Linked DNA regions of Nothobranchius furzeri. The protein of the gene in region 4 interacts with the protein of the main gene of each other region in a biochemical or structural test. Links are inferred from orthologs where the notes say so. Each region holds a gene or a part of one and is shown on either strand. Other genes may lie near its edges.

The links.
Region 1: the proteins of smad3a (region 4) and nedd4a interact in a test that uses a peptide from one of them, tested with the Homo sapiens proteins (3 studies listed by BioGRID and IntAct, with this or other methods). The link is inferred for Nothobranchius furzeri from reciprocal best matches to the Homo sapiens genes SMAD3 and NEDD4.
Region 2: the proteins of smad3a (region 4) and erbin form a complex in vitro, tested with the Homo sapiens proteins (2 studies listed by BioGRID). The link is inferred for Nothobranchius furzeri from reciprocal best matches to the Homo sapiens genes SMAD3 and ERBIN.
Region 3: the proteins of smad3a (region 4) and nedd9 form a complex in vitro, tested with the Homo sapiens proteins (2 studies listed by BioGRID). The link is inferred for Nothobranchius furzeri from reciprocal best matches to the Homo sapiens genes SMAD3 and NEDD9.
Region 5: the proteins of smad3a (region 4) and lef1 form a complex in vitro, tested with the Homo sapiens proteins (2 studies listed by BioGRID, with this or other methods). The link is inferred for Nothobranchius furzeri from reciprocal best matches to the Homo sapiens genes SMAD3 and LEF1.
Region 6: the proteins of smad3a (region 4) and pin1 form a complex in vitro, tested with the Homo sapiens proteins (2 studies listed by BioGRID, with this or other methods). The link is inferred for Nothobranchius furzeri from reciprocal best matches to the Homo sapiens genes SMAD3 and PIN1.
Region 7: the proteins of smad3a (region 4) and tfe3b form a complex in vitro, tested with the Homo sapiens proteins (2 studies listed by BioGRID). The link is inferred for Nothobranchius furzeri from reciprocal best matches to the Homo sapiens genes SMAD3 and TFE3.

What each region holds. Positions count from the first base shown.
Region 1 is NC_091749.1:60,037,887-60,041,445, forward strand, and holds the end of nedd4a (E3 ubiquitin-protein ligase NEDD4), read left to right. Parts: coding exon 1-7; intron 8-600; coding exon 601-660; intron 661-740; coding exon 741-848; intron 849-926; coding exon 927-1,023; intron 1,024-1,657; coding exon 1,658-1,730; intron 1,731-2,382; coding exon 2,383-2,485; 3' UTR 2,486-2,718; downstream 2,719-3,559. UniProt on the Homo sapiens protein: E3 ubiquitin-protein ligase which accepts ubiquitin from an E2 ubiquitin-conjugating enzyme in the form of a thioester and then directly transfers the ubiquitin to targeted substrates. Specifically ubiquitinates 'Lys-63' in target proteins.
Region 2 is NC_091746.1:65,208,947-65,213,643, forward strand, and holds the end of erbin (erbin), read right to left. Parts: intron 1,440-4,697; coding exon 1,347-1,439; intron 1,246-1,346; coding exon 1,171-1,245; intron 1,091-1,170; coding exon 983-1,090; 3' UTR 767-982; downstream 1-766. UniProt on the Homo sapiens protein: Acts as an adapter for the receptor ERBB2, in epithelia. By binding the unphosphorylated 'Tyr-1248' of receptor ERBB2, it may contribute to stabilize this unphosphorylated state.
Region 3 is NC_091759.1:25,474,076-25,478,822, reverse strand, and holds the start of nedd9 (enhancer of filamentation 1), read right to left. Parts: upstream 3,255-4,747; 5' UTR 3,032-3,254; coding exon 3,020-3,031; intron 1-3,019. UniProt on the Homo sapiens protein: Scaffolding protein which plays a central coordinating role for tyrosine-kinase-based signaling related to cell adhesion. As a focal adhesion protein, plays a role in embryonic fibroblast migration.
Region 4 is NC_091749.1:43,537,573-43,541,747, reverse strand, and holds part of smad3a (mothers against decapentaplegic homolog 3a), read right to left. Parts: intron 3,789-4,175; coding exon 3,576-3,788; intron 3,491-3,575; coding exon 3,353-3,490; intron 1-3,352. UniProt on the Homo sapiens protein: Receptor-regulated SMAD (R-SMAD) that is an intracellular signal transducer and transcriptional modulator activated by TGF-beta (transforming growth factor) and activin type 1 receptor kinases.
Region 5 is NC_091746.1:81,737,320-81,741,494, forward strand, and holds part of lef1 (lymphoid enhancer-binding factor 1), read right to left. Parts: intron 3,807-4,175; coding exon 3,674-3,806; intron 1-3,673. UniProt on the Homo sapiens protein: Transcription factor that binds DNA in a sequence-specific manner. Participates in the Wnt signaling pathway. Activates transcription of target genes in the presence of CTNNB1 and EP300.
Region 6 is NC_091744.1:9,162,973-9,167,147, reverse strand, and holds part of pin1 (peptidyl-prolyl cis-trans isomerase NIMA-interacting 1), read right to left. Parts: intron 2,509-4,175; coding exon 2,426-2,508; intron 1,298-2,425; coding exon 1,189-1,297; intron 1,108-1,188; coding exon 997-1,107; intron 1-996. UniProt on the Homo sapiens protein: Peptidyl-prolyl cis/trans isomerase (PPIase) that binds to and isomerizes specific phosphorylated Ser/Thr-Pro (pSer/Thr-Pro) motifs.
Region 7 is NC_091743.1:40,793,304-40,797,478, reverse strand, and holds part of tfe3b (transcription factor E3b), read right to left. Parts: intron 2,513-4,175; coding exon 2,296-2,512; intron 1,885-2,295; coding exon 1,660-1,884; intron 1,228-1,659; coding exon 1,132-1,227; intron 1-1,131. UniProt on the Homo sapiens protein: Transcription factor that acts as a master regulator of lysosomal biogenesis and immune response.

The DNA.
Region 1 (3,559 bases), about 17 Mb from region 4:
TAAGGAGGTAATTTTTTTATTTTCAGGGTATCCGCAGGTCCTTAAAAAGTCTTAAAAAGTCTTAAATTTGCTTTTCCAAATTTAAGGCCTTAAAAATCCTTCAAAATTAATAATAATCCTTAAATACAGTTTCCAAAGGTCTTAAATGACCAAAGACCCAATAAACAAGATTATTTTTATTTCAATTTTCATGAATTTCTAGTTAGTGTTCAGCATTTTTTGTGTACGATGTTAGCGTAAGCGGAACCATACACATTCAGTTGGTAATGAAAGGGGGCTTTTTTAGATGAACACATTAGCTGTTTAAGCTAGTGCGAGATTGCGTCATGGGGACGTGCAACTTTTATGGTAACTGGATGGCTAATCCCACGTTCGCAACGTGGTTAGCACCGGTTCCAGGCAATAGCTGGAAATTATAGCTTAAATTTAATTTTAAAAAATAGCTTAAATTTGGTCAAAGTGGCCTTAAAAAGGTCTTAAAAAGTCTTAAATTTGGCTCCCTTAAACCTGCAGATACCCTGTATTTTACAACCAGAGAAACACAATAAAGCAACAAAAAATGGGAACATAGGGAAATCTGTTAACTGTTTGTGTTTTTAGGGATTCTTCGAGCTGATACCACAAGATCTGATCAAGATCTTTGATGAGAATGAGCTTGAGGTGACTTTTCGTTTATTTCATTGTGAATTTGTAACATTCAGATAAAAAATGGCAAATTCCTCATCTGCTTTACCCCACAGCTGCTCATGTGTGGCCTAGGAGACGTAGATGTGAAAGACTGGAGGCAGAATACCAAGTACAAGAATGGCTACTGCGCCGAACACATCGTGATCCACTGGTTTTGGAAAGTAAGACAAACTTCCACACCTGGTTGAAGATGAGCCTTGGCTTCAGTCATTTTTCAGGTCTTATTATTGTTGTTTTAGACCGTACTGCTGATGGATGCAGAGAAGCGAATTCGGCTTTTGCAGTTTGTGACGGGAACGTCCCGGGTACCGATGAACGGCTTTGCTGAACTTTATGGTAAGAAAACCTACGTAGTCATAAACCTGGTTCCTGGGTTTGTTTTGATGTTTTCTGTGTGTGATAATACAACTGTACTCAGACTAACATCACACATTCTGCTGAACAAGTCATTTTTAAGTTAAGGTCTTTTCAAATAAGACAAACAAAAAAGGGTCGGACCTGTCATCGTTTCTGTGGAAGATAAACTCGGCTCTGAGATCAGCTACCCGTCTGGAGTCTGAGGCCATGAGAATATCACTAGTGTTGGTTGATGAGCTCTACATCATGACTGAAACCCTTCAAACTGAAAATTTGTGTAAATGCTCTCACAAGTGCTGCTCATCTACCCTTCATTTGCTTTTAGATCTAACACAAATATCTGATGTTTAGGTCTGTAAGTAGCCAGAGCTCCTGGATCAAAATCACGTCTCCTTTCACTCTTGTGTTATACTAGTTTGATGAGATTCAGACAAAAATGCAAACTTTTAAATGTAAGCCAGAGCCATGGTTGGATTTGGGTCTTTTCTGACTTGACCCTTAGAAGTTCTGACTTCAAATGGAATGAACCAACAATCTTTACCTCCTGCTTGTGCTAAATAGTTTTTGCACAACCATTTTGAGTTCAAATGTTTCCTGATGCTTTTATATCCAGGGTCTAACGGGCCACAGCTGTTTACCATTGAGCAATGGGGTACACGTGATAAACTTCCTAGAGCCCACACATGGTGAGTGCTTCTCTGTGGTTCTGTTTTGCAATGGTATTAACGTCTGTGAAAGTGGGCGCTGACGTTTAAATAAGCTAAGTTAAATACTTTTTTTTTTTACATTATTGGCTGCTCTGCTGTTTTAGTTATCTGTCAGGTAGCTGATAAACAGTCTGCACAAAAATGTGTTTTTAGTTTGAGTGTATTTGATGTTTGTTTTTGATTGCACATCATCCAAAGACAAGTTTCTGAACATACATAGGTTTGGATCTTCTAGGTTTGGTTTTGTATTCAGAAAGTAAATTTGATTAGGAAATACTGCCCTTTCTGCTGCATTTGATGGGATTTAGTGAAGATGGAGGCTTTGGAGAATGTCATGCTATTTCTGATGAATTTGTCTTGTTTTACAGCCTCATCTTGTTCCACTTGGCTCATTAAAAACATTACATCTTTGTTATGATTTCAAGGAAACAGCTTTTAAATTAATTCACACTTGAAATCAACTCTAGGCCAGATTATTTGGGAAATAAGAAAATAATAAAACACGTCTGATTGTAATACATTTTTAGTATGTTTTCCTATTGATCATTTTTGGTGGAATCTCATTTAACTACAGATTTGTATGATTCCTGTTTAATTCTAACCCTGTTTTCTTTGTTTTTCCCTCCTAAAGCTTCAACCGTCTGGACCTTCCTCCTTACGAGTCATTTGAGGAACTGAAGGAGAAGCTTAATGTCGCCATTGAGAATACACAAGGCTTCGATGGGGTGGATTAGTGTGCACGCAAGGAAACAACATTACTGTGGTCAGAAAAAAAGCCAGGCAGCATGGCCTGGTGGAAAAAACAAGCTGTGCATCTGAAGGGGATTTTAACCCACCAGCTGTGTGACAGATGAAGGAACCCTTACTTCTTTTCTCTGTTGGTGCTCACGTTAAAAACAGGATGCAAAAATCTGGAGTAACTGAGGTATTTTTTGTCACTCCACGTCTTCTAAAATCAGGTTTTCATCAGGTTTTCATTTTATCTGATTCTAGATTGTTAGTCGCTCAAAGGTGTATGTATGTACTCGTTCTGCTAAAATGCTTTGAAATAGTATAAAAATAACTTTATTCTGTGAAATAATGCAAAGCGATACTGTGAATCAAACTGATTTAGATGTCGTAAACATTCGACCTTAAATAATCTGATCTGAATCAGAATCACTCAACATCAACATCATCATAAAATAATAACAATAATTATTATTAATAATATTAATAAAAAATAACATTAACAACAATAAACAAACTGACAAAAGGGGCTATGGGTTCAACTAAGACCCTCCAACAAGGTTGTCAAGGTTGATATAACAATAATTTTGACTATAAAAGCAAACAGAAATTTTCACAACATTACATATACACATCCATGATCTGAGCCTGCTATTCCATGTAGGGTCACAGGGGCTGGTGCCTGTCTCCAGCAGTCAATGGGCAAGCAGGCGGCGTACACCCTGGACAGGTTGCCAGTCTATCGCAGAGCAACACAAGAGACACGTGGGACAATCAATCAAGCACACACAAACACTCACACCTAAGGATAATTTTAGACAGACCAATTAACCTGACAGTCATATTTTTGGACTCTGGGAGGAAGCAGAAGTACCCGGGGAGAACCCATGCATGCACAGGGAGAAACATGCAGAAACCCTGGACCTTCTTGCTGCAAGGCAACAGCCCTAACATACATCCATAAACACAGTTGAGCTAAATTCTGGTCATTCTGGAAGATATTTATCAGTGAAAAATGTCTTTGATAGTGAGTTTTCCACAATTTTATTTTGAAAATCTCAATGACAGTGGTGTATTTT
Region 2 (4,697 bases), on a different chromosome or scaffold from region 4:
TAGATGCTGACAACCATTCAAAATCACACAGATGGATTATACAAACGACTTTCCTTGGATTCTCTGTTTTTGCCGCAGGTTTGATTTTTAATGCTTACTTTGGTTCAACAGCACAACCACCACTTTTTTCTTCTTACAACAGATAAAAGGTTTTATTTTTAAATGAGCGTTTTTTTATCTGGAGTTCTGCTGAAAATTATTGGCTTATTGCTCTCAGTTTTACTTGGTAAAAAAACTGACTCATTTTTCAGAAATATACAAATTTCCGTTCGACTTTCCTGCCTTGTAACATGCCGAATGCATTTCGTCGCCGTCTGAGAAGCCGTGATACATTTCCCGACTGCATTGCAGCTGGACTTGGGCGTTGTGAGCCGGTGGATCTTCACAGGTTGATGGAAGCAGCACTAGATGATTTCCTCGTGATAAAAACCAAACCAAACACCGCCCTGATCGACATTCACCTCCCCAATGAGAAACACGTACCGCAGTTCGGCTGATAAAGTTGCCCGGCAGCAGAGAAAAAAATTATTTGAATAATAAAAAAATTAAATAAAAAATCCCAAAATGAAGAAGCAAACTGGATGACAAAGGAGGAAGTGAGGGCGCCCTGCCCCCTAGTGGCCACCTTTATGTCCATTAGCAAAAACCTTACTGTTGATCAGTGGTTCAGTTGAAAACGAAAAGAATTAAAAAGTCTTTACAGAGACCACAGTATTCTCATCAAAGCACATTTTTAGGTTCTTCGTATAAAAATAGATATATACCACAGTGATGGCCTTTGACGACATGTACTTGCACGTGTTTGCTGCTGCTTCACATGAGATCCACTACATTCAGTGGTTTCCCCGTTTCATCGAGGTGACGCAGACCTCTGAAGAGCCAAGCTATAAATAGTCCGAAAAGGTGTCTGCAGATCAGTACAAAAATATGGGTTTACATCCATCTTTGTTCTCCTTTCATGTGCTCACTCGTCCAGCAGAGCCTACGCCTGCACTTCTCTTATGATAATTAAATCCACAGTGGCTGGAAATGTCTTCAGCAGAGAGACTGCATAAGCATGATCAATATTCACAAAGCTGTAGCCGTTTGCCTGCAAACAGAAAATAAAAAATGAATAACTCGAAGCAGCTGTTGCAAATTAGGCAGATGCTGATCACAAACACGTCAGACCTGAATTATTTTATCTCCAGGCTGAAGAATCTTGGATGCTGGTCCTTCTTGCTGAACCCTCGTCACAAATATACCCTGCAAGTCACACAACAAAGGACGATATAATCAGTGGTTTCCATTAAATGATCTTTAATGGTAATGTTCGTAAAAGAAAAATAATACTAAATCAATGTTACATTATCATCGGGGCGGAAGGGGTTTCCCCGGCCCCCAACTCCTCCCGATATGCTGAAACCTAGCTCTGGATTCTTCTCTACCGTCACATGGATCTGAAACACACCCACTCACTTTAATTAGCCGTAGTTTCACACTCACACACACTTAATTACATAACCACCCTACATTAGGAGTAAAAATATGAAGTGAAGGGCTGAGTGACACAGATGTGACAGAAAGATGAAACAAGTCTTAATTGTGAGCGGAGCTCGGCTTACAGCAAAACTGGGAGCACTGCTCCCCCCGCGTGGTGCGTTTAGTCATCATCACACATTTAAAATGTAAAAATCTAAGAAAATCAAAGTTTCAATAATAATTTTACGACACTGCTATAAAGGATGCATTCATTGGCGACAAACGTTCAACATCGAAATTCTCCAAGAATGAAAAGTTCTAGTAATAAATACTACCGCCAGAAAGCATTCATTGGCTTCTAGATCGGTAACTGCAGCTGTTTTTTGCTACAGGTTTGTATTAAGAGTTATGGCTGCTGGACAAAAGCTGTCCTCTAGTCTAGAAGTGCCTGCCTGATGGTAACAGCTGAAACCAGGCACGGCCAGGGTGGGGGTGGGGGGTCCTTCAAGCTGCTTTTTGCTTTGCTGAGGTAACAGGATTGTGCGATTGCATCTAAAGACAACACCCACTGCCCTCTGTTCTTTTCAATAGACGATCAGAATGCTCCACTGGGGGTGGACGCGCCATCTCACCAGTGGCCCAAAGTGCTTCTGTATGCATTTCCTCCGGTGGAGATGATTCCTCCAATACTGGAGAGGGTACGCGAACACAGCCTGACCTTAATTCTGGTGGCCCCTCGCTGGCCTGCAAAGTCATGGTGTGCAGAGATAATCAGCTTGCTGGTGGAGGAGCCCCGGGAACTCCCTCACTGTCCCGATCTCCTGTCGCGGGCGCAGGGAGAGATACTTCATCCATGCCCAGAGTTGTGGATGTTGCATGTCTACCTGATGAGAGGTCCAGCTTATTAGCCAGGGGTCTCCCTTTGGCTGTGGTTGAGACTATTCAGTGCGCTAGGGCACCATCTACTAGAAGCTTATATATTTTAAAAAAGAGAGCTTTTGAGAAGCGGTGTCTGAACAGGAATATTGCTCCATTCCAGTGCCCCATCGTAGACGTATTAACGTTCTTACAGGGACTGGTGGAGGGGGGTCTATCTTTCTCCACAACCAAGGTTTACTTGGCTGCCATTTCTGCTTGCCATGTTGGCATTGATGGAGTGACACCAGGTGCACACCCCTTAGCGATTCGTTTCCTGAAAGGGGTCCGCAGACCTAAGAGCTGTGCTGGATGCTCTGTGTGACGCAACGTTTGAACCACTTGAGTCGGTTGATATAAAAATCTTACACACAACGGCTCTGCTTCTTGCACTGGCGTCTGCCAAACGTGTCGGCTACCTGCATGCACTTTCAGTGCACCTGTCATGTGTGCAATTCTCTGCTGGGGGCTCTAAGGTCACATTAGGACCTAATGCACCTCTAAAGACACGGCTGTTAAAATCCTGAAATTTGCAGATGACACCACTGTCATTGGGCTCATCCGGGATGGTGATGAGTCTGCTTAACGAGAAGCTGAGAGGCTGGTGGTCTGGTGTAGTCAGCACAATCTTGAGCTTAACACCCTTAAGACTGTGGGGATGGTCGTGGATTTTAGGAAGCTTCCCACGGTGCTGCCCCCCCTCACAATATCCAACAGCCCAGTGTCAATGGTGGACTCATTCAAGTTCTTGGGAACTATCATTTCCAGGGATCTGAAGTGGGAAACAAACATCAACTCCATCCTCAAAAAGGCTCAGCAGAGGATGTATTTCTTACGGCAACTAAGGAAGTACGGCCTATCACAAGAGCTGCTGATCATCTTCTATACTGCTGCAGTCGAATCCATACTTTGCTCATCCATCACTGTCTGGTTTGGGTCAGCCACAAAAATGGACAAATGCAGACTACAGCGTATTATTAAAACAGCAGGAAAAATTATTGGTGCCCAGCTGCCCTCTGTCCAGGAACTGTACATCAGCAGGACCAGGAAAAAGGCACTGAATATTGTCCAAGATGCCACACATCCTGCATCTACTCTCTTCCATCTCCTCCCATCTGGCAGATGCTATAGATCACTGTACACAAAAACTACCAGACACAAGAAGTTTCTTTCCTTCAGCCATTTCTCTCCTGAATCTGTAGATTCTTTTACCATCTTTTTATTATAGTTTTTAATACTTATTCAGTATGCTTATGGATATGTGTGTGTGTGTGTGTGTGTGTGTGTGTGTGTGCGCGTGGGTATGTATATATGTGTGTGTGTGTAAATGAACATGTGTGTGGGTATACATGTTATGTGTTTTTAGGTATTTTTATTCTCATTTATTGTGGTTGTTGTCTGTTTTAGAAAGCGAACATCTACCGAAGACAAATTCCTTGTAAATGTACTTTTACTTGGCCAATAAATCTGAAATCTAATCTAATCTAAATCTAATGCTTCTCATCTCCCAAAAGTGCTTCCATCTAGTTACAGGTCCATGATCATTGAGCTGGCTAGTTTTCATCTGCCTCCTTTTGCTTCAGAGGAACAAAGTAGGCTTCAATTTGTGTGCCCAGTGCGCGCTTTACATATCTACATTAACCGTACTCAGAGTATGCGGTTATGTGATCAGCAGCTTATGTGTTTAGCCAATCCAGCCAGAGGTAAAGCTCTGTCCAGACAAAGACTCTCCCATTGGGTGGTGGAGGCTATTTCTCTTGCTTATGTCAGCAAGGGTCTCCATTTACCTCAGGGAGTGAGAGCTCATTCGACCAGAGGTGCAGCTGCATCCTGGGCCCTTTTCAGAGGAGCCCCAGTGGGCGACATCTGAGCTGCTGCCAGTTGGGTCTTCACCGCACACGTTTACTCAGTTTTACCGTTTGGATGTGACTGCACTGTCGCTGGCTCACTCCGTTTTGTCTGCTGGATCACAAGGCTCACACTAAAGCATCGCCTTTTGGGCCTGATTTTCTGATGACTGCTCTGCGGGGCGTGTATATATGTCCCATACTATATGTGTTGTACAGAGTGAATCGACTGAAAGGGAACGTTAGGTTATGCATATAACTGCTGTTCCATGAAGGAGAGGAACGAGGTACAACATCTTTGTTGCCCCGCCATGCAGCTGGGCTCAGTGAAGAGCGGTCATCGAACTGGAGCATGACGTGTGAGTAGGGGTATTTATAATTTATATTTGTTCTTCTTCTGGCTCTTGGAGAGTACAGACACTTTTTGCCTCTTCTCCTCCCTATCTTATCCCAAGGCTCTTTGTCTATCATTGG
Region 3 (4,747 bases), on a different chromosome or scaffold from region 4:
GAGATCGTCTGGTTCTGCTGGCGGTTCCTCAACAGGAGGAGCAGGAGGTCCAGAGATCGTCTAAGGGAGGCTTTCATCTAAACTTTTTATTTGTTTCTGCTAACAATAAAAAATACAGCCTCAGAAAATTCATTCTTATCAATAAAAAAAATCATCTGATGACCGAAATCGGCCAGTATTCTAGATGATGGACCAATCAGAAACTCAACGATCCCATCACAGGAACAGAAATAGGAATCAGCAGGTCTGAGCTCTGACATCGGGATTGGCCCTGGAAACCATCATCGGTGCTTTTCTAATGATGATCTCAATCAGGACGTCGGACACCTGAACCCTCACAAACAAGATCAAGGAGGTCCAGACTCCCTCCAGCTCCTCCTGGAGGATCCCAATCTCTTCCCAGGTTTTAAGGATCCCCCCAGAGGGATCTGGGTCTGGCTCCAGAAGAACCTCCAGAGAGGAGAGACCAGGAGGAATCTGAAGCACCTCAGCTGCCTCCTGCAGTGAGGAGCAGCAGCTACTCTCTGAGCTCCTCCAGGCTGATGGAGCTCCTTCTCCCCATCTCCAAGATCAGCTTGGATCCAGGATGTGGTTTATCGGGTCCTGATCCAGATCTCAGGACCCGATGAAGGTTTTGGTGATTCGAATGAATCAAACCAGCACCTGAATCCAAGGAAACCTTCATCTAAACATCTTCATTAACAAAAGACACTTTCCTCCACCGTGGCGTCATCTGGAGACGACGGGTTTCCGCTGAACAAATCCCAACACAAACGTCTCGTTGTTCCGACACTCAAACAGACGTCTGGGAAAGAAAACCTTCATTAACAAAGTGAAACAACGAAGCGTCGCCTGGAACGCTCCCATTCTCACCCTCCACCTCCCACCCCCACCCCACCACTTCCTTTTTCCAGAGCCTTTCAGGACCTCCTCCTCCTCACCCCCAGAACAATGTCAGCCCTCCTTCAGCGCCGCTGGCCCGCTGCCCGCAGTCCCAGCCATGAAACTCGGAGGAAAACACACATTCCGGGCTCAGACGGTCCACCTCATCGCTCCTATTTCTGCAGCACTGACATCAGCTGCCCAGGAACTCTGCGGGGGGTGGGGGGGAGGGTTGTATCCCAACACTTCATACCATTCCAATAAAATCAGCCGGAGCGTCACTGTTCTATAAATACTTCCTGTTAGGTTAGTTAGACCTGGGCTTTTTTGTTTGGGAGCGTCTGATCTGGAGGAAGCTGCTCCCGACGCATCATTTAAACTTTAGAAGCTTTGCAAGTCAAACTAAATTTAATTATAACCTTTTTCATGTAACTGTAAAACTGGAGATTTGAACTGTTGAACGTTTACAGCAGCTCCTTTTTCTGTTTACATTTTTGAACGTGCCAAATTCCATTTATGACGCGTTGTTTTCAGTTTGGGACCGGCAGAAGTTCTAGTGCTGATCAGGAAGAGAAATCTGCTCAAACCTCTCAGAAAAACCAGAGGTGCACCGATTCTGGTCTGAGGGCCGATACCAGCTCTTGTGGAGCTAGCGTGCCGATTCCAGTTGGTCTCAAATAACTTAGATAAATGTGATAAATCAATTTAAAAAGTCTGCTTATCTAGGAAATTCTGATTTTAGACGTGAAAACGTCCACATGGCAGACCTGCTACTGTTAGCAAGAATTAGCAGTAATCACGCCGACGCAGCCGATTCCGAACGCCAGGCGATTTTTCCTCTGGGATTATGTAAGCAAGGTGGGCGGAGTCTCAAACGGTTGAATAACAACATCACAATATTTAGGATTTAAAAACTTTAACAATAAAATGTCTGACTTTTGGTTTCAAGATTTAATTATTGCATGTTAATGAACGTAAAGGGATGCCGTAAGTACACCGGATTTAGAGAAATGACCTCATAAAACAAAACAGCAACAATCTCTTGTGTGTCCACCAGAGTGGACTCATTACCGGGGAGGGGATCATGTGACCCGTGGAGGATCCCCGTCACACCTGAACACCTGTCGGAAACATCTCACCTTCGTGTTTCTGTACACGACCGATGGACGCTAGGAACAGAGCAGCTGAAGCCTGATGATGCTGATGTGACGCCTGAGTGGCTGTTTTTATGTCCTCTGGCTGTGTTTTCATGACGCGCGCGCGCGTGCCTGCCTGCCTGCGTGTGTGTGTGTGTGTGTTTATTATAAGCGCAGTGGAAACAACCTCCTGATATCTACAAACACAACATGTCAGCGTGCACGGCTCTGCTGTGGGTCGTGTTTATCACAATCCTCTGATCCTGTTTATGATGATCACTGTTGCCATGGAGACCTGCTGTAACTCACTGACCCCTGCGTCCTGCTCCTCCCGTGCACTCAACAGGAGGGTGAGTCCGCTCGGAGCATGACGTGGGGTGACACCGGAACCAGGAGACCCAAACAGAGCAGAACCTCACACAGAAACGGGTTCCAGCTCATGGCTGTGATTGACGACTGAACCCCAGAAGCAGAACCACAGACGTGTTTCAGCATTTTAATCATCTGGACTAGATGCCAGTGTTTGGGTTTAGTTACACACGAGGTCCAGCGCAGTGGAGGAGGTGCTGGTTTCTCTGCTCCGACTGTTTTTGTGCCTGTGGTGTAATTCACTACGGCCCTGGATGGCGTCACTGGTTTCCAGTCTGCAACTCTCATCATCCAACCACTAAATTACAGACCTGAGCGGTGTTGTCGGCCACGCCAAACACCCAAACCTGAGCTTTCCACCCTGCTTCAGAGCTTTTACCCTCACTTGGTTCTGCTGGGGGGCCCAGCCTGGCCCCTGGTGCCCTCCGTGCGCTCCAGGGCTGCAGGGCTCCTGCTCAGAAGGACCTGGCAGCGTTTCCTCTGCCAAGTCTCTCCCCTTAAAAACTTCCACCTAACTGGATGTTTCCGCTGGGAGGTTGAGAAGTGACCTGAACGCTTACAGCTTCTGGGCTGAGTCAGAACCACGCCACGTCCAGCGTTTAACGGGAAAAGCAGAAAGAAGCGGAACTCACTTTGTACTTCATCCTGCTGCTTCTGGCGGGGAATAAAATCCAGCAAAAACCAACTCTAATCCGCTGAAAGGCGAGAAGAGCCCGCGCATGTGAAGAAGCGCAGAGCGGAGGAGTTGATCTCTCAGCGGGTTACAGATCCATCCGACCCGGAGCCGAAGGCACGGAGAGCCGCGGAGAGGACCGAGCTGGAGCCGCTGCACCGCTTTCTGCTCCGCTGCGCGCGACCGCTGCTCCGCTCAGACACGCAGCCGCCCGCTGATTGGTCACGACCAACGGCCTAGCCACGCCCACCCAACGCTGCCTTTCTGAAGTCACGTCACTGTCACCGGATGCCCTTCAAAATAGAACAAATTAAAAGATTGTAACATATTCACCTGGAAAAGAAAGTATTTAAAATGAGCTGCTTCAGCATCATCACGTGAATAAAGTTCCTGTCATAAAATAAACTAAAATAGAAGTTCTAACTCATTTTCACCCTAATTATTTTACTTAAATATTTATTTTCATGTGTAAATAAATACAATTTAAAAATGTGCTTAAATCTTCTTCATTTAATCTTCATGAAAAAAATTATGTTTTACACGCACGCACGCGCACACACACACTAGCATTCGTTGTGAGGACCGTCCTTGACTTCTATTCATTTTAGTGACTGGATTGTGCCTAACCCTTACCCTAGACCTACCTCTAACCATAACCAGTCCACTCCTAACCCTAACAAGTCACACCAAACCGCTAAAAATAACCAGTAGAACTCTGGGACATTGTCCTAAAGTAAGGACCAGCAAAATGTCCTCACTTTGCTACCAATGTCCTCAGTTTGTAGGTAAAACAAAAAGATTGATTTGGTCCTCACTTTGATGTATAGACCGACACACACACACGCACACACGCACACACGCACACACACACACACACACACACACACACACACACACACACACACACACACACACACACACACACACACACCACTTAAATGAAGTAAAGGTGCTGAGATGGGAGCTGTTTCCTGGCCTGAATTATTGTCCCAGCCTGTCCCTGACTCTCACCCACCAAACTTTATAAGTACTCAGCTAGTGGTTAGCGTTTTGGTTGTGCTCACCGCTCTGACCCGTCCATCCTGTGGTTTAAAAGTTGGAATGGTGCCCATTTGAACAAGTAATCCATCTGAAAATGTACTCCAGTCATGGTGGTGGTTTAACAAGCAGTCAGTGAAATCATCGTCACGGCTCAGTTTAGAGAGTCCAGAAGAGAAAAATCCAACCATTTCTGCAGATTAAGCTCTTCTTCAGGATCTGTTCCTCTTGCAGACAAAAATCCATTTTTGGTTTCTGGGTTTTATTTAAAGTGCAGACACTTCCACACAACGGAGGAGATTAAAGTCCCGGCTAGCTACATGGAGAGCCTGGGTGTTAGTGATTACAGTCCAGGGGAGGAGGGATCCAGATCCAAGACTTCCTGGATGGGGAGGAGCTTGTGATGAAAGTATGGCCGTGTTTGAGATGAGCCAGCTCTGCACAGATTAGATCACCGTTGATCGGCTCGCGGTGCATGCCCGTTAGATTTGTGTCTGACGTCACGCCTACGTAGGCAACGATAACCTCGTGAGATGAAGGCGGCCTCAGATGTTGGAGCAGTTCGCTGCAGCTGCTCTCCACTGGCTGCAACACCTAGGGCATGATGGGAAACGCCTGGCTCTCACCTGATCTAAGATCTGATTGGTTC
Region 4 (4,175 bases):
GCTTTGTGGATTTGGAGAAGGCTTATGACCGTGTCCCCAGGGGCACCCTGTGGGGGACGCTCCAGGAGTATGGGGTGGGTGGCTTTCTGTTAAGGGCCATTCAGTCCCTTTACCAGAGGAGCGTGAGTTTGGTCCGCATAGCCGGTAGTAAGTCGGACCTGTTCCCAGTGAGGGTTGGACTCCGCCAGGGCTGCCCTTTGTCACCGGTTCTGTTCATCACTTTTATGGACAGAATTTCTAGACGCAGCCGTGGTGTGGAGTGTGTCGAGTTTGGTGGCAGGAGAATCTCGTCTCTGCTTTTTGCGGATGATGTGGTCCTCCTAGCTTCATCCAGCTCTGACCTTCAGCTCTTGCTGGGTAGGTTCGCGGCCGAATGTGAAGCGGCTGGGATGAGGATCAGCACCTCCAAATCTGAGACCATGGTTCTCGACCGGAAAAGGGTGGCTTGCCACCTCCGGGTCGGGGGAGAGGTCCTACCTCAAGTGGAGGAGTTTAAGTATCTCGGGGTCTTGTTCACGAGTGAGGGTAGGAGGGATCGGGAGATCGACAGGCGGATTGGTTCGGCGTCTGCAGTGATGCGGACGCTGAGCCGATCTGTCGTGGGGAAGAGGGAGCTGAGCCAGAAAGCCAGGCTCTCGATTTACCGGTCGATCTACGTCCCAATCCTCACCTATGGTCATGAGCTTTGGGTAATGACCGAAAGAACGAGATCGCCGATACAAGCGGCCGAAATGAGTTTCCTCCGTAGGGTGGCCGGGCTCAGCCTTAGAGATAGGGTGCGGAGCTCGGACATTCGGGAGGGATTCGGAGTAGAACCGCTGCTCATCCGGATCGAAAGGAGCCAGTTGAGGTGGTTTGGGCATCTGGTCAGGATGCCTCCTGGACGCCTCCCCGGGGAGGTGTTTCGGGCATGTCCTGCCGGCAGAAGGCCCCCGGGTCGACCCAGGACACGTTGGAGAGGTTACATCTCCAATCTGGTCCGGGAACGCCTTGGGGTCCTGCCGGAGGAGCTGGTGGACAAGGCCGGGGAGAGGACGGCCTGGAGCTCCCTAATTGGGATGCTGCCCCCGCGACCCGGACCCGGATAAGCGGAGGAAGACGAAGACGAAGATGTACATCTCCTTTAAGCCCCATGAGATGTCTAAGCTGCAGCTGTTACACACCTGCTTAGACTCTATCAAAACCTGGATGGCTGGGAGCTTTCCACAGCTGAATGAAGATAAGACTGAGATCCTCATCTGTGCCCAAGACAAGCTGGTTCCCAAAGTCAGAGACTCTCTTGGTCAGCTTGCTTCTCACACCAAACCCTCTGCCAGGAATCTTGGAGTGACCTTTGACCCAGCTCTCACCCTGGACTCTCATGTCAGTTCTCTTGTTCGCTCTTCCTTCTTCCATCTCAGGAACATTGCTAAGCTGAGTCCCATTCTGTCCCGCTCTGAACTTGAGACAGTTATCCACACCTTCATCTCCTCACTCTTAGACTACTGTAACTCTCTTTTCACGTGTCTGAGCAGAACTTCCCTGAACCATCTACAGGTGGTTCAGAATGCCTGTGCTCGGCTTCTGACCAAGTTCTCCAAATACACCCACATCACCCCGCTTCTCCTCCAGCTTCACTGGCTGCCAGTCAACTTCAGGGTTCATTTCAAGATCCTGGTTCTGGTCTATAGGGCCTTACATGGACAAGCACCATCATACATTGGTGATCTTCTTTGTCCCTACACCCCCAGCAGGTCCCTGAGGTCCAGTGGTCAAAGCCTACTGGTTGTGCAGCACCAGGCTAAAGACCAAAGGTGACAGATCATTTGCTGCTGTGGCCCCCAGACTCTGGAACTCTCTCCCCCTGAGCCTGAGATCAGGGGATTCAGTGGTCTCCTTCAAAAAGCAGCTGAAGACTCACTTGTTCAAGCTGGCTTTTGTATGACCTTCTTCACCACTCTCTCTTTATGCTCTTAGTTACTCTCTCTCTTTCTTAACCTTTTTTTAATCACAATTGTCTATTTTTGCTCATTTAAAATATATTTTTAATCATTTTCCATATTTTTTACATTTTTTGTTTTTGTGAAGCACCTTGTGATTTTTATCTTGAGAGGCGCTATAGAAATTATATTTTCTTCTCCCCCCCCCCATCCCCCCCCCCCCCCACCACCACCACCACCAAAATTAAACAAGTGCCAAGGATATCCGATAAGATTATCTTCAGAGCCATCACAGTAATCTGCCGTGGGATCTTCAGAAGGGGAGAATTGGGTCAAGAAGTACCCTGCCGTGTGAACCGGTCTGTAGAAGACTGCTTATTTGAAAGTAACTTAGGAGATGAAACATTCGCGTAAGAACCTACAAACTCCAACATGGACCTGAGCAAACATCTCCTTTGGTAAATAAAGAGCTCATGTCTGTGTTTTTAATGAGAGGAGAGATGAGTCAGAGGAGATATCCTTGAGTTGATGATGACAGAGGTGATGTCACAGATAAGATGATATATAAGCAGCACAGCAGCTGAGAATAACTCAGTTTTAATTCATCTAGACATCTAATAACACCTAATTCTCACAAAAGGTTCCTGACCATACACACTACATACCATACCAAGTTTATTTGTATAGCACATTTAAACACCGCATGAGAGCCGACCAAAGTGCTGAACAAAAACACACAATAAAAACAATCAAAAATAAAAACTAAAACCATTAAAATCGAGTAATCCAACTCGAAAAGAAAAGGAGAAAGAGAATAAGTTAGACTGAATTAAAAGCCAACGAATAAAAGTGAGTTTTTAAACGAGACTTAAAAAGGGAAAGAGAGTCTGATCAGGAGGGGCAAGTGGTTCCAGAGCTTCGGTGCACAAACCGAAAAGGCGAGCTCCTCGCGGGATTTACAGCGAGAGCTAGGGACATGTAGGAGGTGCTGGTCGGCTGATCGGAGGGATCTTGTAGGGACATACGGGTGAATGAGCTCAGACAAGTAGCTAGGTGCTAAGTTATTGAGGGATTTAAATACAAAAACCAGGATCTTAAACTCTATACGGAGATGGATGGGGAGCCAATGGAGATTTGCTAAAACTGGTGTGATGTGTTCTCGCTGCCTGGTGCCAGTCAAGAAACGAGCTGCTACGTTCTGCACAAGCTGAAGTCAAGCGAGGGTGGAGGAGGAGATACCAAAGAGCACTGAATTACAATAGGAAGTAATAAATGCATGGACAACTGAATACACACTACATAGTTTCCAACACAGCTGGGGATCAAGCTACCAACCCAGTTTCCATCCATCACTCTACGCTCTCATCTGTATCTTTTCCCAACTCATCACAGTCTATAAAGGATTCTGCTGACTCCATCAGCTGGACACACACCTGGGGGGATCTTGCAGACAGTGGCGGGGTGCCAACCATAACGCTGATTACAGTTGGGGCTCTGGACGAAGATAGCGCTATCACTGAGACACTCTGCAAACACTTCTCCTCCGATGTAGTACAGCCGCACACCACGCCCTGAGAGAGAGAAACGCAGAAGCACGGATGTCACAGAGACGTTAACCAGACAGTTTTATCTGTTATAATCAGAGCTGATGCCCACCGATGTGTCTGCGTGTTAACTCCACTGCTGCATTGCGGTTGACGTTGGACAACAATCCGAGGCAGAAACGCTCAGAGTTTGAGGGGTCTGTGAAGCCATCCACCGTCAACGAGGGCTGTGAGGCGTGGAAGGTCTCCCCTACTCGCTGGTTCAGCTCGTAGTAGGAAATGGAGCACCAGAACGCTGGCTCACAGTATGTTACTGGCTGGAGATCTGTGAGGGAAAGGTGCTGTTAGTTTGGCTCCAACAGATAACAGAAAAGGACAGTAGCTGGTCTCTGAAAGGACTGAGATGAGCAGATCTGTTTGGCCTGTCATGTTGGAAGTAAGATAAACAGAGGAGGAACTGGAGTCAGGGATCCTAGAATAACAAGAGGATGAAAATAGAAGAAACGAATGGCAGAAAACAAAAAACACAAGAGAGAAACTAGAGATACAATGATAACAGACAAGAGACAAAATAAACGAAACATGACGAGAAAGGGGGCTGCAGAAAAACCTTCCCAAATGAAGAAAACATTTAGTGAAAGCTTGTGTAACAAAACGTCAGACCCAGAAACTGTTCCCTTCAAGCTTTAAATAAAATATGAAATGCAGATTC
Region 5 (4,175 bases), on a different chromosome or scaffold from region 4:
AACTCTGTTCCTTCCTGTGTGTAATGGTCTCTTCCAGCGGTCTTCCTGTTGGCCTGGTATTAACCCACTCCTCTGCCAGGACTAAGCTCCTCCATTTCCAGCTCCTACTGGGCTTCAAGGTCAAGAGGTCTATTTTTGTGACAGTGCTGCAGGATGACAAACATCTGCTTCAACTTCCTGCTTTTCTGACTTGAAGCAACCGGTTTTGCCCACTTTTAAAAGGACATGCAGATTTGTGATGTAGCTGTTCACGCGCCTGTGTGTACAAAAGAAAAAAAAAAGAGGGCAAATGCTTCCAGATTAGCACCGTCTTCTAATCCCTGCTGGAGCCATCCTTTTCTCCTTGCTTCCATCTTTTCCTCCCCCTCCTCTCTCCAAGCCGTGGTCTGAAGGGGCCTCCCTCCTCCGAGAGGCAGGCCGGGTGGGAGGCTTATATCTCCAAAGCCAATGTTGCGTCGCTGGATTCGTAGCACGGATAGCTCGGCTCCCCGCTTGCTAATCCACCACCTAACACTCCTTTAGGGCCCTCCTGAGGAGGGCAGAAGGGAGGCAGGTGAGTGGCGAAGCAGTGGGGGGGAGGAAAAGAGCACCCTGATGCGTTAACCTTGTCGCTCACACGTGTATGACGCCTAATTATTCGCCCCTTCATGTTCACACGTCCCAAACAAAACGTCTTTATTTTATTTATTTTCTCCAAACACCCCCACCCCCCTCTGCTCGACCTTCCATCCCACGCAGCAGCCCTGTGCATATTAGAGCTCATAATGAGAAAATCCATGATTGTTTTTCATAATTAACGAGCAGATCAAAGTCTGAGCCCACTAAAGGAAGCACAGCAGCTATTGGTCGATATTAGGAGAGAAGAAAGAGCGAGAGGGACTGTGGAAGGGGAAAAAAGAACGGGAGAGATTTCATTTTAAGCATCTTCGGCTTAGCTCTGCTGACACACACACACACACACACACACACACACACACACACACACACACACACACACACACACACACACACACACACACACACACACACACACACACACACACACACACACACACACACACACACACACACACACACACACACACACACACACACACACACACACACACACACACACACACACACACACACACACACACACACACACACACACACACACACACAGCCTGGGGAAATTATTTGTAGCTAATTCTGCAACTGGATAGCTTGGACATGGATTTCTGTTAGGCTGTGAGTGCAGAGATCAAGGAGTTGCCAACGGGGGAATTATTGCGTCTTTTTTTGTGAAAAGCAAAATTTCACACAGAAAAAGACGGGTGCATTTGTTGTTGTGTTGCCTGTTAGTCCTTTTATGCATCTATTACAATAAAGCTCTCATCTGTTTCAGAAGCTTTGCAGATGTGGAGCGTTGTCTCTTTACGTGTCCCGCTCCCTTCATCTCCCTGCACCGCATACATTCACGCTTCGTTCCGTAGGATTATTTATAGCCGGTCCCTCAGAGCCTCCCATCCTTCTCATCATCATCACCTACATCTCCTCGTACTCCTCATCCTTTTCAAGTGACAGTTGCAGGAGAAGAAAGCGGAGGAAAGTGAAAAGGTGCGGGACAAAACCACGCTTGGCCCACGTCTTTTTTTGAATTTTTCTCCTCCTCTGCTAGCATCAGTGAGATGCTGCCAAAGCCTCCAGCTGCGCAGGGCTGAAGGAGCTCGTCCAAACGGCAGAGGAGCTCTTCTGCAGCTGTCAGAGCTGCAGCTTGATGTTATTCCTGAGAGGCAACGAGTGCAGAGGGAGAGGGCAACGAGCTCAGCGCGACATCCCACCGGCTGCTTCAAATGACTTCACAGCAAAAGATGGTGGCAGGGTGACTTCGCTCCGACATATTTCTGTGTGTGTGTCTCAACGGATTCCTGACGGTGTTGACAGTCGTTTAAAAAAAGAATACTTGTGCTGCCTCCGAGATGACTTCCAATATTTTTAGCATAAACTGCACATCATCCAATAATGGCTTTAACGTACGAGTTTGATCAATGGTAGCATGGACGTAATTTTGGGGGGGGGGACAGGGGGGACATGCCCCCCCCACACACTTTTTCCAAAGTCAAGTTTTGACCCCTGCACTTTTTACCATCCAAAAACAATATTACGCTATATTAAATTGACACTGGTTGAGCTCTAGGACCAAGCAGAAAACAACCGTTTGTGTTGAAGCCGGTTTCCCATTAGAGCATACTGTAAAGCCCCCCCCCCCCCCCCCCCCCCACTGTCCCCCCCACTTCTAAAGTGAAAATTGTGTCCATGAATGGTAGATTGGAGCTTCTGTAAAAGCGAGACCACATTTTAGATTTCATTTGTTTAAGCTTGATTCATGATCTGGGATTATGGAGGTGTTCTCTTAAAACAGGCACCCAGATTTGACACGTAAAGCCAGAGTCTTAGGGTCGGGTTATGCTTGCTTTTTACGTGTTTTGGCGCAGGCTGCGTCTTTTTTCACATGCTTGCTGCTGCACGGCACTGCGCTGCACGTAGTACTGAAGGACTTCGTTAGGGGGCTCAGTTCAGACCGATAGAGTCCAGGGTTTGTTCGAAACAAACATCGTGTCAATAGAAAAGATCTGTTTCATTTGGAGATCCCGGCAGGAAAAACGACAGCAGCGGTATCATAGATAGTATGGAAGTCCTCTAAACCATGGTGGGTGTCTCACATGTTTAGTTAACTCCGCCTACTGGTTACTCGTATACTGCAGCGTTCGAACGCGTCTCGTTAATTTCGGGGGATGCGCACAAACAACATTTTAAATCAACGCACATTACAGGAGACAGTCATAATAAACATGTATATACACACTGTTAAAACCAAGCATTTTGCAGCCCTTAAGCCTGATTTATACATCTCCGTCAGCTCCGCTAGGCAGAGACACACTCATTGACAGAGATGTTTTGCTCTCGGACTTCTCCGTCACCTGGGGAGTGTTGCAAAGCAGTTCCCCGCCAGGACAGCAGAGGGAGTAGCTCTGTTCTGGCGTATCATGCCACCATTACACCCATGTATCCGATCCCACGATAGTGAATGTGTTCATGTATTTTAGAGACTTTATAACATTCTCATTCTCCTCCACCTCTTCATGCGGTCGCCACCTCTAAACCCACGTTTCCTGCCATTTCCATCCATGAATAAAACATTTGCTCCGTGTTTTTGTACTCCTTCAGTCACAGATGAAAAATGTCGCTGGTTTTGGGCCACGACTAGTTTCTACTCCTATTAGAGTCATCACAGCTGTCTGGAACCCGTCTCAAACCCTTCTCAATGTAGTTTTTGAGAGTCAAAGTTCAAAGAACTCAATACGATGGAGCAGTTAGTAAACAAACTTGAAATGGCATGCGGGGTAAACTGTAAGCAAATCGAGACACGTTAGAACTAAACCGCCACAAGAAACATTAGCAGGGCAGTTCCCTTCTGTTCGCCCAACATAACACTGCCGTACTCAAACTTCTTCCTCGAGGATCATTTGTACAAATTTATTGAAGTTCCAACTAACAATCTGTTGATGTTCCTGCAAACAGTTGCATCCCAGTCAGATGCTGGATTAGAGACCGACTCGGGTGCTTTTTCCTTCACAGTTCGAGACGACTCAGACAACACAAAACGACGTTGTGTCGGCGTGTCTCTTACCTTGTTTGTTGCTGGCATCCTGGGGATGATGGCCTGAATGGGAGCCTGGAGCAAAGTGCTCATCGCTGTACGTGATCAGTGGTGTGAGAGGGTGGACTGCATGGGACGGCTGCACAACAGGGACTTTATTGGACTGTGGAAACAAAAGCAAATTGGTCAGATTACAATAAAATTTTTGATTTTTCACATGAACACTATGGACCTAATGTCGTTTCTGTCATGCAGAAGCAGGACGCTGGCTCAGCTAGTGCAGCACAGGCTCTACCTCCACCCTGATGAAAAGGTAACTGCTCCACCGACACTCACCAACATGGACACTGCACCTTATTCATATTTACAAATCGTGTTTCTATGTATACTGCAATGCAACCAGTATTATTATCTTCCAACGGTATTTATTACAACCTTATTTATTACGGTTTTAGCAAAACCCCTCCCCCCAACCTCAACTCAATGCCATACACAGCTTTTTTTTAAATACACAATTCTTCCTTTTAGTACA
Region 6 (4,175 bases), on a different chromosome or scaffold from region 4:
TTAGCATATTTTTGGGTCCGATGTGTTGCTACCAGATGTACAGTGTGAGCAGTCAGGTCGCATCCGAGAACTGGGTCGTGCAGTGTGAGCGCATGACACGTGAGCTCTGCCCTGTGAGGAAGTCGTACAGTTTGAGCTGAAGCTGAGTGCTACGAGTGAAAAAGTCGCACAGTGTACGCCCGGCTTAACCCAGGATTATCCGGGGGTTGGGTGGGACTTGGCCTCTGGGTCTGTAGCTGTGCACTATTGTGGAATTTATATGGGGAGAGGTGTAGTTTCATCAAATCCAAGTGTCTTAGCTTGGCTCATAAAAATAACATATTTAATAAAAAAAAAATAAGGCATCTCAATTGTGCCAATTTTGTCATCTATCTTTGCTCTGGAAGGTGTAACATAGCATGATGCAGGCCCTTTCAGTGTGTAAATATCAACAGACCACTAATTAATACAAATTTGATCAACATTCACACACCCGCCAGGGTTCTACAGAAAAAATAAAACATTTGATAGTTTCTGCCTGCCGTTGCATTTGGTGTCTCGTTCCCTTTTACTTGTTATAAATGAGTTTTTATTTTTCCACACAAAAAGCTGTGTTTTCTGATTATTTTAAGTTTACAATCTGAAACAAATAAGACTTCCAAAACATCTTGGTCTCTATAAACCAGTTTCTTTCATCTACAGACAGTTATATTAAGACTTTCAGAAAAATCTTCACTTTGATTTTATTGTTACTTCAGACTTATTAGAGGAAAACTTTTTGGGGTATTACAGTTAAAAGCAAAACTATAACACCGGGAGAAGGTGTTGGTTTTAGTAAATAACCAAGTTAAGTGTTGAACCTGTCCCTTGCTCTCACACACACTCGATGTTTAAAAAAATAATAAAAATCTACACAAACATTTATCCTGGGAACAAAGTCCAACTGATCCGAATGGCTACAAATCTAAACAGAGAACTAAACTGAATAGTCCGACCCAGATCGTGATGTTTTAATACCTCTGCCAAACAGTCCGAGATCACCACCGTTCTTGGCTGAGCTGCAGTCGCTGAACTGTGAAGCTAAGGACTCAAACGATTCATGTCCAGACTTGATCTGTTCTATGTACTCTGAGCAGGAAAAAAGGACATGAAACGATCAGACTTCTGCAGAGTGACACCTCCGTTCCTCTTCTGCTTGGTCTAACTTACTCTGAATGAACTCCAAGGCCTCATCTTTAGTTCGTGTAATATTTTGTTCCCGCCAAGAAGATGGACGACGCGACTGATTATGTTTCACCAGGAGGTGAGAGCAGCGGACCTGTAAGAAAAACACAAAAATGGCCGAGAACTTTCATCGAAAGAGCTAATCATCAATCACCTGACCCATTAAGGATCCATTTTATTTTTCATACTAAGCATTAAGCACTGAACACATGAAATCAAAAGCATTTTGAAAGAAGCAGTTATAGAAGATGACTGAAAAGTTTATGCATCATTTTTCCATAAACAGCCTGTCTTGTCAAAGTCAGTTATTCAGTGCGTTTACATGCAGCCAGTAACCCTTTTAAAACCCGAATATTCACAATAACCCGGTTCCGCAGGTCCTTGTAAACACCACCAGAAACCCGGATATGCTCATAACCGGGTTTTTAAAAACCCGGTTACTACACCTGGGGTAACCCTTTTCTAACCCGAATGTTTGGTCGTGTAAATGCATACCGGGATATCCCCATCAAAGCGTGTGTTCTGCGCATGCTCTGTTCGCAAGGAATCTTGGTCTTTTGAGTAGCGAGACGTCTTGTATGCGCCAGAACACCAGAAGTAAACAAGTTGGGAGCAACATGGCGAGTCGTGGCACAGCACCACACTTTGAGTGACGAGGAAACTAAAGCGCAAACAAACACGGTCGCTATCTCTTCCGAACTGGGAAAAATTTTGTTGTTTTCACGGATACCAGAACAAGAAGAACCGGAAATGATGCATATTGCATCTGGACGTAGTCCACACGTCCTGACGCTGCCCCAACGTCCGCATTTACATCGGGTTATGCAAGTTAGGGGTAACTCGTGCTTGTAAACGGGTTATTCTGAACAACTCAGAAACCCGAATGCCGACCTTAACCCGATCATAACCCGGATATTGGCTGCATGTAAACGTACTCATTGTGCAGCCAAACTGATTCAACTAATCAGGATTATTTCATATTCAGTCACAGAAAACATACTTCAGCATTTTCTAAACTGTTGAATAAAACAGATCCTCCATATCAGTCTCTTTGATGGGTACTTTAAACCAGCAACACAAACTTGGAAGTATTCAACTGAAAACAAATTTCCTTATGTTTTGTTTTTGCCAAGTTTATTTTAAATGTCACATTTCCTGTTAAATAGTAGAAAAAAAATCCAACTTGTGTAATTAAAGTTTATTGTTGTTGTTATTGCAACACCTTATCTGGCTCTCCACGGCCGTCTCCCACTGGACGTTCCCACTGGCTGGCATTGGTGATGTGATTAAAGTAGTAAACCTTGCCTGCAAGAGAAAAAACCCCATAAATGTTTAAATTTCAACGTGCATCTATATTTTTATTACAAAGGTTACAAGAAAAGACAAAAATGAATAGTTATTGCTCACTTAAACCATTAATAAACAATTTTGTAAAGAGAAAAATGCAAAATACTTTATGTTTATGTATTTAGCAGACGCTTTTGTCCAAAGCGACTTACAAGTGATAATCGGCATGTTGCCCTTGAGGCTAACAACAACAAAAACAACAACTTGACATCAAGACCACAGAGAAAATATAAAAATAAGCAAAGTTTTAATCTGTGCATAAAATTTTATTTTGTTTCTTCTCTTTTTCATCACTTCCTTCTCCATTCTGCTCTTGCAGCCATACTGCATTTCCCCTGGGATCCACTAACTATCTATTTTTTTTTATTCGGTTTCTTGTTCCCTTTCCTCCACATTTTTAATCGCAACTTTTACTTTGATCATTCCATTCCATTCCATTCCATTTATTTGATAAAGCACATTTAAAAACAGCATGTGAGCTGACCAAAGTGCTGTACAGGGGTAAAAACATATAAGGTTAAAAGAATAATATAAAAGAATAAAACAACTAGAGCAAAACACAAAGAACCAACAATGAGAAGTCAATAAAATCAGTAAAAGAACAGTGTAAATAAACCATCGATAAAATAGCTAGGTAGTAAAAGCAAGAGAATAAAAGTAAGTCTTTAAGTGAGACTTAAAAACCCCAATGGAGGAGGAGAGTCTGATATGCAGCGGGAGATCATTCCAGAGTTTTGGAGCGCAGACAGAAAAAGCTCGTTCACCACGGGTTTTGCAGCGTTGACGGGGAATCTTTAATAGGTGTAGGTCACCTGAACGGAGAGTCCTGCCTGGCACATAAGGAGTGAGTAACTCGGATATGTAGGGTGGTGCTAAGCCATTCAGTGCCTTAAAAACAAACAATAAAATTTTAAAACGTATACGGTAGTGCACAGGAAGCCAGTGAAGTCTTGCTAAAATGGGAGTGATGTGCTGCCGACGGCCAGTATTGGTCAGAAATCTTGCTGTCGCATTTTGTATCAGCTGAAGGCGAGATAATGCGGCTTTTGAAATGCCAAACAGAATTGCATTGGAGTAGTCCAACCTTGAGGTGATCATATTTTACGATATTTAAAAAAAACATTTTTGTCCAAATGAAGAGCCTTCTTATTTTTATCTTGAGAGGTGCTGAATAAAATATTGTTCCTTCTTTCTTCCTTTAACTATATTGTACATTTCTATTTTCTGCATGCTGACTGAACCTTTGAGATCCAGCTGTAAATCCAGATTAAGACAGAGGATGCCAAAATAAACAAATAAATAAGTAAACGAGTGGGAAAACAACAGCTTCTTTCTCACATTTGAACATTTTTTTGTTTCTATTATTGACATGAACGTTTACTATCTATGCAGGAGACTTGTGCCTTTGCCAGAATTAAAAACATACATAAATTGCTCAAAATGATCTAAAATGCCATTGTGATTTCACTATTTTCAGCTAGTTTCAACACTTTTTAAAAATGAAATGAATTAAAATCTCAAAAGTGCCAAATGCGATTCAAGCCTTTCAAATTATTTCAAGCATTCCTATGAAGTGTTGACTTTGTGGTCACGTGTGCTCCCAGCAGAAAGGAGCGTCTCTGGTC
Region 7 (4,175 bases), on a different chromosome or scaffold from region 4:
ACGGGAGCCTGAATGTCCAAACAGGAAGTTGCTTATACACGTTGCTGGCTGCTTTGCCACACAGATTGTGGGTCTCTCTCTCTCTCTCTCTCTCTCTCTCTCTCTCTCTCTCTCTCTCTCTCTCTCTCTCTCTCTCTCTCTCTCTCTCTCTCTCTCTCTCTCTCTCTCTCTCTCTCTCTCTCTCTCTCTCTCTCTCTCTCTCTCTCTCTCTCTCTCTCTCTCTCTCTCTCTCTCTCTCTCTCTCTCTCTCTCTCTCTCTCTCTCTCTCTCTCTCTCTCTCTCTCTCTCTCTCTCTCTCTCTCTCTCTCTCTCTCTCGCTCTCTCGCTCTCGCACTCTCTCGCTCTCGCACTCTCTCTCTCTCTCTCTCACTCTCTCTCCCTCCCTCCCTCCCTCCCTCTCCCCCTTAGCAAGTCTAATTAATTATCTTTGAATTGAATTCATTTTAGTGACAGGATTGCGCCTAACCCAAACCTTAACGCACACGCACACACACACACACACACACAGGATGGGACTAAACTATGTAAATGGTTTTTGTGTAAACTAAATTGTCTTTTATGATTGGAAATGAAACCAAAATTGAAATATGAACAGATTGCTTCTGAAAGCTGCACATGGCAATAAGAACGGAAACTTTTCAGTTAACTGAAGCTGTTCGAGGACAGCAAACAATCTAATCTTTCTACCTGAATACCAAGGCTGGGTGACGCTTGTTGTTCTTTCCAAAAGCAAAAGAGCAGATTTACCTCACTGACTTTCTTCTTGTCTTCCAAAAGGATCACCATAATTCTCATTTTCTCTCTGGCCCTCTGTTGCGACTGTCCTAACTACCGTTTAACCGACTGCTGTACTATCTAGTCAGCAAAATCCACTTTGTCTCACTTCCCCCTCTGATAGCTTTACCCCGCCCAGGCAGCACGTCTGTGGCAAATAGTAAGAAAGTGACACAAATGTATGTTTGCTCCCACAGATTCAGAATTCCTCACAGAAAAGGGACGTGCATTCACAGAAAAAGCACCCCGACTTTAGAACACGTACTAAGACCAAACCTGGAGTTTTCTGTCATCCAACATCTGAATTTTAGAGGAAGTAGCAAAAAGAAAATCAAATAAAAGCGTTGTTTATCATACCGTGCTGGGCAGCTGCAGGCCTGAGTCGATCAGCGTAATGATGTCATCGTTCAGACTGGATTCAAGACTAATAATGTCGTCGATCACATCGTCGATCTACATGAAAGACAAACACCCACAGGTGAATGTTCGTTCTCATTAAGGCAACATGCTGTGAGTTTTTAGCCTTTAACAGGCTAAAAACTCACAGCACTTCTAACAGAAGTGCTGAACCCAAAGCAGGAGCTCCGAGGAGGTCAGTAAATAGGAGGAGGTGCAACATTTAACATGCTATTGTGACAACAGGCTAACAGGGGTGTGATGATCAGAAGGCTTGCATCGTTGCAGTGGGAGCTTCCAGCTTAACATGCTATAACAAACTAATTAAAGAAAAATGAGCAAGGGGATCCACTTTTAACTTCCTCAAAACGACGTGCAGATCTGCAGGAAGGCCAACGACCAGCAGCGTTGGGCAATCTGCTGTACAAGCAAATGAAACTCACACAGGAGAAATCAAACCACTGGTAAGAAAGCAGGAATTCCCCTTACTTCCTCCTTGTTGGATCCGATGTTGAGCAGAGCCATGGGACTGTTAGGGGCACTGCTGGCAGAAGGGCCGACCTCAGGGGCCGAACTGGACTGTGGGACCGGCGACACGCCGAGGGTCTGAGTCACCGCCTTGTTGCCCAAAGTGGTAGACAGGTACTGCTTCACCTGCTGCCTCTGGGCCTGCTGGATGTGGTACTTGGTGGGGTTCTCCAAGTGGGTCTGCACCTGAACCGTTTCAATACTTGTTACATACCTTTACTCCAAAACCTGTACGATTTCTGAACATCCTGTATAAAATACTAAGAAGAGGAGAATGCGGTGACTTTCTCATGATTTCAACACCTTGTTCAGTTTTAATTTGATGCAAGCGGCACTCGGAAAAACATTTGCAAGTCAAGGTCGGCGAGGCCCTGAACGCCAAGTCAGTGTGAAGTAGACGTGTGAGACTTTTTAAATCCAAGCATTTCACCGTCTGTTATCATCACAGAATACTTTCATGTTCGGCCTGAATGAAAACCTCAGTGAGTCACAATCATTAAACATGTTTTTTCAGCGAACCACGCTTTTAAATGAGTTACAGCACCGAATTATTTTTTAAATGACACTTGAGTACTATGCAGAAGCAGGCGGCCTTACTTTCAGCACCTCCACAGGCACCTGAGCAGGAGGAGGGCGGGCCCCGTTTGTGGCCAGGCTGACGGAGATGGCTGGAGTGGAATCAGAGGCTCGGAGCTGAGAGACAGAGGCCTGCTGCTGGGCCTCTCGCCTCTCCTGCTCCTGAGCTTGTTCCCTCATTAGCTGCTGCCGCAGCAACACCCGTGACGACATGATGGAGGCAGAGCAAGGCTTAAAGCTGGAGAAACACAGAACCACAAAAGATGTTAGACGTGAAGAGTTTAAGATGTGTCGTGTTGTTAATTATGCTGGTACGTCACACCCTGAATCCACACTCAAGGCATCAGTGGAGCGGAATGGCAGCGGGACGGTTTACTCGCGTGCTTTGCGGTGCGTCAATCTACACCGGGGAATCTCTGCGGCGGAGCAACTCGTCTGTGATCCTCCTCACCGGACTCACAAAATCCCTCCAGACTTCAAAGGTCCCGGTTTGTTTATGCCAAGGAGGAGATCACATTTGATGTCATATGTTGTTGTTCCTCTCCACTATCAGGATTAAAGCCATGAAAAACACACGGCTGTACTTCTCAACAATGCTGGGAGGAAAGGTCACATGTATTGACGTAATGCATATAGATAAGAAATCGCATCTCTGCAATTATCTTTTATTTTGAAAATTACCAGACGTTTTACAATGAAACTGTGGGTGACTTCCTGTCTAGCTCTATGTGAACTTTCTTAGAAGCAGCTCATCAAAAATACAACCCAGTTCTATCTTTAGCTAGCCTGGCCTGCCAGACTCGTCCTCCGTTTAATTCTGCACAGAGACTCTGGTGACTCACAGGCAGAGAGGCACATGAGGGGCGGGACTAGACAGCTCAAAAATAACCAATCAGAAAAACGACGGAAATGCCGACTGTACCGCGCGACGCTGTCGTTTTTTAGCTGTAGCCAAAAATGGCGTCTGGCGACGGCGCAAACTTGTTTCTTTAGAAGAAAGGCTTTCAGCGCTTCTACTTGTTGTGGTTTTAAAGATGTTCAAGTCATTTAGACCAGAGCGAACTCCGCTTCAGTCGCCATGTTTATGACTAACTCGGCGTTGTGGTGTGTGACGTACGCTACTCAGCGCCGATTGGCTCGGTTACAATTCTCAGGGGGCGGGGTTATTTGAATAGGAGAGTTCCCAGACCCTGAGGAGTCTGGCAGGCCAGCGAGCCACGTCCGGACTACGCCTGAAATGTTCCGCGCCACAGGCCAGTTTGGGTTAACCCATGGACTACAATGGTGAAGCAGCGCCGTTCCACACCGCTAATGCCTCCAGTGTGGATTTGCAGTCAGTTTGTTTGTATCCAAAACATATTTAGTGACCAAACTACTTAGGAAGATAGAAATGTTGAAAAGGATGTCAGGTTAAAATTGATTTTTGAGCTACTTAAGGTGCATTTACCTGTCGTAACTTCCTGAAAGACCTTTGCTTGGAAAAATGGTATTGGCATCCTACAGGACTGATGAGCTAACGTCTGAGCACTGCCAAAAGTGCTGCCTATATTGAATCGTATGGTTCATTTGGACGAAATGTTAAGAAACTCATGTTAGACTTGACCTCCAGATGCAGCACATGCTGTGTACTTGCTGCTGAGGATACAATTTAAGATAGCAAATAAACACAGACTTCCATAAAAATGTGAAGTTAAAGGTAGAGTATAAATAAGATCAGATACTACAAAAATCTAGAGACTGGAGTTGTTTCAATAAAGTGTGGATATTGGCTCATTAGCCAACATGAATGTCGCTTCTCCAAGCAGAGGTCCTTGCTAGAAAACGGTCAAATATCCCATAAGTTGTCGACGGCTGTGAATCACCATTAAACATCAACACAGAGGAGTTTCCAACATGAAAGT